Mus musculus: one gene and its partners. The protein of the gene in region 2 interacts with the protein of the main gene of each other region in a pairwise test. Links are inferred from orthologs where the notes say so. Each region holds a gene or a part of one and is shown on either strand. Other genes may lie near its edges.

What was found.
Region 1: the proteins of Htt (region 2) and Dctn2 interact in binary tests that used the Homo sapiens proteins (3 or more experiments, as listed by UniProt). The link is inferred for Mus musculus from reciprocal best matches to the Homo sapiens genes HTT and DCTN2.
Region 3: the proteins of Htt (region 2) and Ftl1 interact in binary tests that used the Homo sapiens proteins (3 or more experiments, as listed by UniProt). The link is inferred for Mus musculus from reciprocal best matches to the Homo sapiens genes HTT and FTL.

The regions. Positions count from the first base shown.
Region 1 is NC_000076.6:127,276,233-127,279,482, forward strand, and holds part of Dctn2 (dynactin subunit 2), read left to right. Parts: intron 1-151; coding exon 152-312; intron 313-469; coding exon 470-617; intron 618-1,022; coding exon 1,023-1,088; intron 1,089-1,254; coding exon 1,255-1,293; intron 1,294-1,462; coding exon 1,463-1,540; intron 1,541-1,634; coding exon 1,635-1,706; intron 1,707-1,887; coding exon 1,888-1,990; intron 1,991-2,084; coding exon 2,085-2,176; intron 2,177-3,250. UniProt on the Homo sapiens protein: Part of the dynactin complex that activates the molecular motor dynein for ultra-processive transport along microtubules. In the dynactin soulder domain, binds the ACTR1A filament and acts as a molecular ruler to determine the length.
Region 2 is NC_000071.6:34,876,636-34,880,286, forward strand, and holds part of Htt (huntingtin), read left to right. Parts: intron 1-94; coding exon 95-274; intron 275-389; coding exon 390-566; intron 567-792; coding exon 793-869; intron 870-2,167; coding exon 2,168-2,306; intron 2,307-3,168; coding exon 3,169-3,291; intron 3,292-3,651.
Region 3 is NC_000073.6:45,457,347-45,460,900, forward strand, and holds Ftl1 (ferritin light chain 1), read right to left. Parts: upstream 2,541-3,554; 5' UTR 2,286-2,540; coding exon 2,184-2,285; intron 1,885-2,183; coding exon 1,738-1,884; intron 1,315-1,737; coding exon 1,189-1,314; intron 938-1,188; coding exon 761-937; 3' UTR 598-760; downstream 1-597.

The DNA of each region.
Region 1 (3,250 bases), on a different chromosome or scaffold from region 2:
GCATGCATGTGGTACACACACTTCATGCATGTGGTATACACACTGCATACATGCAGATACATAAAGTAAATAAAACAGCCTGGCCATGGCTTTCTCCGAGGTTGCTTTTTTTTTTCTCACTTCCATCCTGTCTTACGGACTCCTCCATCAGACGACAGTGAAGGAGTCAGCCACCGAGGAGAAGCTCACCCCTGTGGTGCTGGCTAAGCAGCTGGCTGCCCTGAAGCAGCAGCTGGTGGCTTCCCACCTGGAGAAGCTTCTGGGACCAGATGCTGCAATCAACCTTGCCGACCCAGACGGAGCCCTAGCTAAGTGAGTGCCCTCAGCCGCGGCAGAGCCACTGCTGAGTGGGACTGTGCAGGACAGGAGGGAGATGGTTAGCCATTCTCTAATGAGAATTATGAGGCAGAAGATTCAAATAGCCCTCATCTTTTGGGTCTGGATATTATCACTTGTTCTTGTGCCCCAGGCGCTTACTGCTGCAGCTGGAAGCAACTAAGAGCAGCAAAGGCAGTTCAGGGGGTAAGGCTACAGCTGGGGCCCCCCCAGACAGCAGCCTGGTCACCTATGAACTCCACTCACGGCCTGAGCAGGACAAGTTCTCTCAAGCTGCCAAAGTAAGTATGAGTGTAGCATAGGTTGGGAGCTAGGGAAAAGTCAGGTAGTGTAGGCTGGGAGCCAGGGAGGGAGGTGCGAGTGGCCTTTGCAGGGCCAGGCCTAGGAGGGAAAGCTTTTGAGTCCTGGGAGAGCTTCGGACTCCTCCTGAAGTCTTACTCGCTGTATTTCCTTGCATTTCTGGTTTTTGAGGTAGGGTCTCAACACTAGCTTTAAACTCAAGGATGTGGCTTAGGCTGGCTCTGAACTCCAGATCCTCCTGCCTCTGTACCTCCCAAGCTGTCCATCTACTTTAAACTTAAGTTTAAGATTGTAGCTAGGGATGTGGTCCAAGAAGGGAGCCCTTGCAGGGGTTGGAGGGTGACAAAGAATCGCCTCCTCCTCTTGCCCCTCCTCCTCCCCCATAGGTTGCAGAACTCGAGAAGCGTCTGACAGAGCTGGAGGCCACTGTCCGATGTGACCAGGATGCTCAGGTCAGGTGCTCTCCTGTACTAAGTCTACAGTACTCAGAGCCCTGAGTAATGATCCCGTAGTTCACAGTGTTCCCACAATCTGGAAGCTAGGGGGTTACAGCTAGAACCAGGAGTCATCCTATGGCTGTATGAAGACTCCTGACTTCTTCCCTCCATTTCCCACCAGAATCCCCTTTCTGCAGGTCTACAGGGAGCCTGCCTTATGGTGAGTCTGGAAGGAGCTGGCATGTGGATTACAGGGGTCAATGGGAATGTCTTAATTATGATAATGAGTGGGTTTATAGCCCTAGATTAATTCCAGTGAAATGTTGCAGACCTTTTTTATAATTTGATTCTTCTCCTGGTGACACTTGTCCAAACCCTTCCTTGACTAGGAAACGGTAGAACTGTTGCAAGCCAAAGTGAGTGCCCTGGACCTTGCAGTTCTGGACCAAGTAGAGGCTCGGCTTCAGGTATTAAGTAGAAAGCTAGTTGGATTCCAAGTAGCTTGGGACTTTAGAAGCCCAGGTCTGGGAGCCCTGTCACCCTTAACCCCTGTGCTTTCAGAGTGTCCTGGGAAAGGTGAATGAGATTGCTAAGCACAAGGCATCCGTGGAGGACGCAGACACTCAGAACAAGGTCAGGAGCTGTCTTCTCCATCTCTGTACCTGCCGTGCTCCCCCAGGCTCCTCCCCTGAGTGGTAACATCCAAATGTAGGGGCTTTGCAGCCTTGGGTCTTAACCAGCTGAGAGTGAAGGGAGCGCCTTCCCTCTGCCAGCTGTGGTGTTAGCATCCCCTCGGCCCTGCCCACTTTACCAGGTGCACCAGCTCTATGAGACCATCCAGCGCTGGAGCCCAGTCGCCTCCACCCTCCCTGAACTGGTACAGCGACTTGTCACCATCAAGCAGCTGCATGAGCAAGGTGTGCGGCAGGCAGAGCCCTGGGCTGAGGGAGGGCCTGTGGTCCCCTCTCATCATGGATTCTGTTCTTAGCCATGCTCTCTTCACTTCTGCAGCTATGCAGTTTGGTCAGCTCCTGACACACTTGGATACCACCCAGCAGATGATGGCCAGTTCCCTTAAGGATAATACTGCTCTCCTGACCCAGGTGTGGGGGTCTTTTTATTTTGTTGCCACTTTTTGCCAGGGCAGGGCAGGGCACCTGAGGTTCTCCAGCCCTACCTCAGAGGGTTTTGTCTTAGGGCTTTGAATGTCAATTCTGTTTTCATAGTTGTAGGACCTTTGTGCCCAGCCTGGTTAACCTCTTTCTAACTGTGGCTTTTTTGTTTGCTTGCTTGCTTGCTTGCTTGCTTGCTTGCTTGCTTTTGGGAGAAACTGGGAGTGTTGGGTAGAATCACAGTGTGTTGGACTGACCCTGAAGCTTGTTTTGTAGACCAGGCTGGCTCACATTTGTGGCCATCCTTCTCCTCCCTCTGGAGTGCTGGGATTACAGGAATGTGCTACCATGCTTGAATCCCCTTCCCCCCACCCCCAACCCCCCCACCCCGAAACAGGCCTTGCTATATATGCCTAATTGACCTGGTATTCATGTAGCTCAAGTGGAGCTCAGACACACAACAAAACAAACCCTGCTGCTTTAGGCTGGGATTAGGCCTGAGCATGTCTTGTCTCTACTTTCTTATTAAAATATTTTAGTGTGAGTGTGTGTATAAGAGAGTGTGTGAGTAGGAGTGTGTTCGTGTGTGTGTGTATGTGCGCTTGTGAATGTGTGTTTGTGAATATCAGAAGCATCAGATACTATTGGAGCTTGACTTTAGGCAGTTGTTAGCTGGAAACTGAGCTTGAGTCTTCTCCAAGAGTGGTATATGCTCTGAACCCTTGAGATATTTCTTGAGCCCTTCTTTTTGAGACATGGTCTCTTACAGAAATTTCAGGAACTCATTGTAAAGTATTCTAGATCCCCTTGCACGCGCGCGCGCACACACACACACACACACACACATCACACACATATACACGGGAGCATTGGAGTTACAGACAAGTACCATTAAGCCCGCTCTTCTATTTATTTTTATGTGTATAGGTAGGTGTTTTGTCTGCCTGCATGTCTCTGCACCATACATGTGTCAAGTGCCCACAGTAGCCAGAAGAGAGTGTCAGAATCCATAGGGCTGGAGGTATAGACAGCTGAGAGCTGTCACGTGGGTGCTGGGAATTGAAC
Region 2 (3,651 bases):
CACCAAGGCAAAATTTGTATTTCAAGTGTGTTTTTTCTTACACTTTGTAGCCTTCTTGTCCACTTGAAATATATCTTTTATTATATCTTTCTAGTGTCAGAATCTCCATGACTCAGAACACTTAACATGGCTCATTGTGAATCACATTCAAGATCTGATCAGCTTGTCTCATGAGCCTCCAGTACAAGACTTTATTAGTGCCATTCATCGTAATTCTGCAGCTAGTGGTCTTTTTATCCAGGCAATTCAGTCTCGCTGTGAAAATCTTTCAACGGTAAGTCTTTAGCCTGCCAGTTTGCTTTCTCCAACTTAAAAATGGGATACTGGGATTTTGTCAGTACTAGTTATCAGTCTGAGGAATAATAAATTTCGTTCCTTCTCAACATTAGCCAACCACTCTGAAGAAAACACTTCAGTGCTTGGAAGGCATCCATCTCAGCCAGTCTGGTGCTGTGCTCACACTATATGTGGACAGGCTCCTGGGCACCCCCTTCCGTGCGCTGGCTCGCATGGTCGACACCCTGGCCTGTCGCCGGGTAGAAATGCTTTTGGCTGCAAATTTACAGGTACTGAAAATGGTAATTTATATCAAAACTTAGAAAGTCAATCAAAACATTTGGTCTATTGACCTGGTCTTGATTGGCCACTGATAAAGAGCATGTATGTCATATTTGTTATTTGTGTATCTGACCAACGGCTCTTTTTAGATATACTGTGTATAGTAATTTATCCTTTTTAAGTGGGTGTGAGGTTGTATATCACAAAAGCCCTGATGTGTTCTTGTCTGTGTAGAGCAGCATGGCCCAGTTGCCAGAGGAGGAACTAAACAGAATCCAAGAACACCTCCAGAACAGTGGGCTTGCACAAAGGTAAGACTGCAGCGTGGGGTCCTGGCACTTGGGCAACCAGCGTATTAACACATAGATATGTTCAGGAACAAATAGGTAGACAAAGGAATTAGTGTACAGTGAGTTTACTACAGCAATGCCAGAGTAGAAAAGACTATCTAAATATCAGATGAAATTTAGTCATGTCTCACTTTAGTAGACATGAAGAAGTGGCACTCAAATACCTGTTGCACAGAGAAGGGACTCCTGAACTTTGTGACTGTTGAAGGGATAAGAAGTATGTTTGTTACCTCTGCTACTGGACCCTGACTGAGTGGGAATAAAGCTAGAACCTAATTGCCAGGTTGGAGGGAGTAAACATGAGAGCACTACCTGGCTCTTGGCATGTGCACATTATGTTAAGTGACATCTCTTCATAGCTATTCTTTTGCCTAATTGTTTGAAAGTCTTTTAGAAGCCTTTATTAGAAACATTTCCATCTGTAGTGTAAGTGTAGTTCCTTGACTACAAGATAAATTAAGAAAAGCTTTCACCTCTTTTCCATTGCTGAAGGGGGAAGGGAGCATTCGAGAGGGTCTCTCATAACTTTAATCTTCAGAGGATTTTTCATGGTGTTTCATAATGGGACAGGGCATGGTCTGGATGATTTTTCTCAATCTGCAGAGCCACATGATGCTGACATTTGATCATTTGACATATGAAGTATCACATTGACTCTGTATAGTAAGAGAATAAATTATCATTGTGTTTGACAGTAGTTGTAGTCATAGACCAAGATAAGGAAGATTATGACTTCATAAATAATTTAGGCCAGATGAAATGGTTTTCTGTGAAATGACCATTTCTAATGGAATGAATTGTGTCATTATTGGGGATTAAATGGAGTTTGTGCACTTGGATCTTAAAATTTATCTGTTTTGCACACATTACAAATACGATGGCTAGGATTATGTAATTCAGTGGTAAAGCACTTGTCTAGTGTGCACAAGTCCCTAGGTTCAATCTCTAATATTGCCAAGAAAAGAAAGAGTAGAATAGAATAGCTTTGTTAGCGGTTATATAGTTCATTGCCTAATGGAATGTTGAGCATAAATGAAACTTCTGGAAAATATCAGTGAGGTATAAATTTTGGTAATTTAAAGTAACTAGGGCGTAAATGTGCATCATGACTTTAGAATGTTGAAGGGAAAGTCCAAAACCTGTTGCCCTGTCTTAAGAAGCTCCTAGTGCTCCTTGGTATTACATGTTTCTAGAACTCATCTGTGCAAAAACTGAGATTTCAAACCAAAGAACAAACTACTCTGGCTTTTTTATTCCAGACACCAAAGGCTCTATTCACTGCTGGACAGATTCCGACTCTCTACTGTGCAGGACTCACTTAGCCCCTTGCCCCCAGTCACTTCCCACCCACTGGATGGGGATGGGCACACATCTCTGGAAACAGTGAGTCCAGACAAAGTAAGTGTCCCGAATGTCTAAGTGTGATGACCAGGAACCCTGTGGAGACAATGACAGCCTCTGTCTACAATGAGGATAGTGGTGGCTGTCAGTATACATGGGACCTGACACTCAGCTCAGGTCATTAGATGCCCTGCTTGGGATTAGAGTGCAGGATGGAGGCCAAGAGGTCCTACTGAGAACAGGAGTGCTGATGTGAGGCTTTTGTGGAGGACTGTGGGGGCAAGTCAGGTGGCTAGTCAGCAAGTCAGGAAAAGTTGGTTGTGGTCCAGGACCTATGACTGCAGACATTGTCCAGCACATGCTGACAAAACTTGGCCTGCCTCCCCCTCTGAACCTTCTATCTCCTATAAATTGATGCACCTACTGCCACCAGCTATATAATGTATTGTCATCTGTACCCTTTCTCATTCACACTTGAGAATTAGAAACTGTTAGGGCCTTTGCCTTTTAGGCAAGGAGATGAGATTTTAGAAGCCTGCAGCCCATGACAGAAAACACACATTTGCCCCAGGCTCACTCTCCAGCTTTGTGGGAGGCATTTCTTTGGCTTTGGCTGCTGGGAAAGATGAGGGAGGCAGATACTCCAGTATAGTATAGATGGTGCATCATCTAGAGTGCAGGTAGAGCAAAAATTGTGAACACTGAGAACTTGGCTGAGTTTGCAAGGACTGCTGGAAGGTCCACAGGTGGAAAAGAAGAGGGCATTCAAGCACAGAACAAGAGAGGGAAGACTAGCTGTCTAGAGAGTGTAAGCCCAAGATGTGTCTGATGTCTGTACAGCCAGCCGTCGGTGCTTCTATCACAGCCCAGAGAAGCCGAAGTGCCTACCCAGTCCCATTCAATTTTCTTTTCTTCTCAGGACTGGTACCTCCAGCTTGTCAGATCCCAGTGTTGGACCAGATCAGATTCTGCACTGCTGGAAGGTGCAGAGCTGGTCAACCGTATCCCTGCTGAAGATATGAATGACTTCATGATGAGCTCGGTAGGCAATAATCCGTTGAGTCCAGGAAATCCTCAGCTCTGCTTGTCAGAAAGTTAGATTTGTGTCTTAGTTAGGGTTTCTGTTGCTATGATATAACACTATGACCAAAAAGCAAGTTGGGGAAGAAAGAGCTTATTTGGCTTAACACCATCATTGAAGAAAGTCAGGATAGGAACTTAACAGGGCCAGAACCTGGAGTCAGGAGCTGATGCAGAGGCCATAGAGGAGTACTGCTTACTTGCTTGTTCTCCATAGTTGGTCAGCCTACTTTCTTACAGAACCCACGACCACCAACCCAGGGATGACACCACTCACTATGGGCTGGGTCCTCTGCCATCTACCACTAATTAAGAAAACACC
Region 3 (3,554 bases), on a different chromosome or scaffold from region 2:
GCTGGGTCATCTTCCTGTCCACATGACTGCTTCCCCAGAGCCATGGCATAATACTGAGCCAAGGGCCTATCATGTGGCTTCATACGACCCTTGGACTTGTTTTAACCAGTGTGAGCTGACACAGCAGTATTGTCCGGTGTTCCACCCCCCACCCCACCAACTTCCCATGTTTCTAACCCCTTTGCAATGGTTTAGTTCCCATTTGGGCAATGGTCCCAAGTTTCACATCCTCTTTTTGATGGGCCCAGCATCTAGTTCGGAATCCAGCAAGACACCCTGGCTCCCCACCCTCGCTCAGCCAGCACCCAGGGCTCAGCTTGCTCACCTCCTGGCCTTCTACTTGTATGTTTAACTCATTTCTGAACTTGGATGTTTAAGCCTTTTCACTTCCCTGCACAGTAACATAAACCAAGGACTGGCAAACTGCTACAGGCTACAGACTCCTACGACCTGGATTTGCCACATGAAAAGGCAGATACTACCACACAGAGATCGCTGTAAGTTATCACATGTGGGTTCCCACAAAAAACAGGAGTACATACAGCCAACCTCTTCTTTCTCGTGCACCCCTCCCACATATATAGAAAAAACACCAGCTGCTGTCTCAAAAAGCTTTATTTTTACTTGGTCCAAGACTTGACAGAGGCTCCAGGGCGGTTACAAAGCTGCCTAGTGGCTTGAGAGGTTCATTCAGGTGGAGGTCCCAGGGCGGGCTGGTGCAGAGCAGAGGGGGGAGCCCCTTGGAAGGTACAGAGGCCTCCTAGTCGTGCTTGAGAGTGAGGCGCTCAAAGAGATACTCGCCCAGAGACCCCTGGGGCGCGCCAGTCTGCGCTGGTTGTGGCCCCGCCACCCTGCGGAGGTTGGTCAGATGGTTGCCCATCTTCTTGATGAGTTTCACCTCCTTATCCAGATAGTGGCTTTCCAGGAAGTCACAGAGCTGTAAAGGAAGGAAGAGACATCAGACACCGAGTTCTAAGAGACAGGTGTGAGCAGGAAGCTTTAAAAAAAAAAAATCCTGCCCTCAAGGGCAGGTAGGTAGGTAGGTAGGTGTGTCCTCAGTACTGTGTGTGGTGCTTCTGCAATCTGCACTCGGGAGGCAGGAGGATTAAATTATTGGGAGCTGAAAGCCAACACACAACAGTCTAGGTTTTGTCAGAGAAGGGAAGAAATGATTAGCAAGGTACTTACATGAGGGTCCGCGCGGGCAGAACCCAGGGCATGCAGATCCAAGAGGGCCTGATTCAGGTTCTTCTCCATGGCCAAGGCAGCTTCCATGGCCTCCTGGGTTTTACCCCATTCATCTTGAGATGGCTTCTGCACACAAGAATATCAAGCCTAGATTACATCCTTCACCCAGCCAATATAAAACTGACTGCACAGGAAAAGTGGGCACAGTGGGGAAAAATAATGGGATACTGTCTTTAATCCCACCACTGAGAGACTGGGCGAGAAGACAGGAGGATCTCTTGATAGGAGGCAACCTGGTCTACATTGTGATTTCCATGCTAGCTAGAGAGACACCGCCTCTCCCCAGCCCAGCAGTCCTCATCTGTATTCTGTAATTACCCCCATTTTCCAGTTTCTGACATCCTGGTGGGTTTAGTTGCTCTACATACTCCTATTGTCTACACTAGTCCTGCCACCACTCCCTTCCAAGACGTCTATCCGGATGCCCAAACTATGGGGATGGCAAGTAAACGCACATGCTCGGTAGTGCCCAATACCCCCGCTTCTTACCTGCACATCCTGGAAGAGTGCACGGCCCCCGCGATCGTTCTGAAACTCGAGGAGACGCTCCGCGCCCTCGCGCTTCTCCTCGGCCAATTCGCGGAAGAAGTGGCCTACGCCCTCCAGAGCCACGTCATCCCGATCAAAAAAGAAGCCCTGCGGGAGGTTACAAATACGAGTTAACGGAACGCGGTGGCTCGGCTCACACTGTAAACTTCAATCGCAACACTCAAGAGGTAGAGGCAGTACGTGTGAGATTTCGAGGGCAGCCCGGTCTGCCCAGCGAGTTCCAGTCAGACAAAACTACTATGTACACAGCGCGCAGGGAGAGGGAGAGGTCGGAGCACAGTCTCTGCCCTGCATGGAACAAAGAAGGCCCGCGCATGCGCAGGAGGGTGGGTGTGATGGACCCCCCCCCCCCCCCCCCGTTCAGAAGGCAACCCCGAGCTGCTCACCAGAGAGAGGTAGGTGTAGGAGGCCCGCAGGTGCAAGTTGACCAGGCGGTTCACGGCAGCTTCCACCTCGGTGGAATAATTCTGACGAATCTGAGAGGTCATGGCTGATCCGGAGTAGGAGCTAACCGCGAAGAGACGGTGCAGACTGGTCCTAGGAGCTGAAGGCAGCGAGGAGATGGTCCCGGAGGCTGCGACTGGAGAGACTTGTAAAGGCGGCTGGAAGCGAGTACAGTGGGAATCCCCGGGTCTGTTCCGTTCAAACACTGTTGAAGCAAGACACAGATCCACGGGACCTCCAAGGCGCTGCTCTAAGTCCCGGGCAAGGAGCGCTCCTTTTATAGCATGTTGACCCTCCGGAGGGAGGGGTGCCCCAGGCCCGAGACTAACCAATCGGCGGTGGCGTGAGGCGGAGACGGAAAAGTATACTTGACCAATCCGGAGCTGAGGGGAACCTCGCTCCCCACCCACCCAGTCCCATGAGATGAAGTCACGGGACTGGAGCGCGAGGCCTTGTGAAATGGAGGCTTGGGGGAGGGGCGGTGGTCCGGATCCGGAGGCGCAACCTGGAGGGGTCGCAGGGTTCTGGGCTCCGGGTCACTGAGACCCTGGGGAGGGGATGACTTCGAGGTCCTTTTCTGGGTGTCTCACAAAAGAGAATTTTGGGGCCTGAGAACATGGATCTGGGGATGGGCTGAGTGTGGGGTAATGTCTGTAAATGCAAAGGGAACCTCCATATGTCCAATTGCACACAATGAAGGGATATGTCACGTCATGAGGAAGTCTGGTATTCCAAAGATTCTAGAGATCTCCTTGAGGGAATGGAAGGGATGCCCAGAAGTATAGGGTTTTAGGTTCACCATAGGAACTAAGATTGTTTGCTTGTTTTTCTGTTTTCTGTAACCCAGGAGGTCGTGAAGCCCTTTGAGGGCTTGGAGTGGGCAGAGAGCCTTGGGTTACCGTGTGTGCACCTCCCTCGGGTGCTCTGGAAGGTGACATGTGGAGGCCCAGACAGGACTTTGGAGTTCTGGTCAGCCTGTCTGTCTGGGTCTGTGTCAGTGAACCTGTCTTTCTAGAAACAGACACGCATGATGGCGCTTGGAGAATTGCTGGGCTCCTTCCTGGAGTTTGGTCCAGAAGCCTCCTTGCAGGTTGCTCTTTTGGAATCAAAAGGCCCGAGAGTTAGGGAGAGCAAGAACTCAGGACCCAGAAACAGACAGTCAGTCTTACGCAGAACAGTTGGGGCATGCAAGGCCCAACTGGACTTTTGAGGACAGGACGGGCTCATACCAGGGTCTAATCTCAGAAGCCTGGGAAGAGAGCAAAGGGAAACGAGCCCAATCATGAAAAGGGGCTAAAGGAAGAAACAGTAAG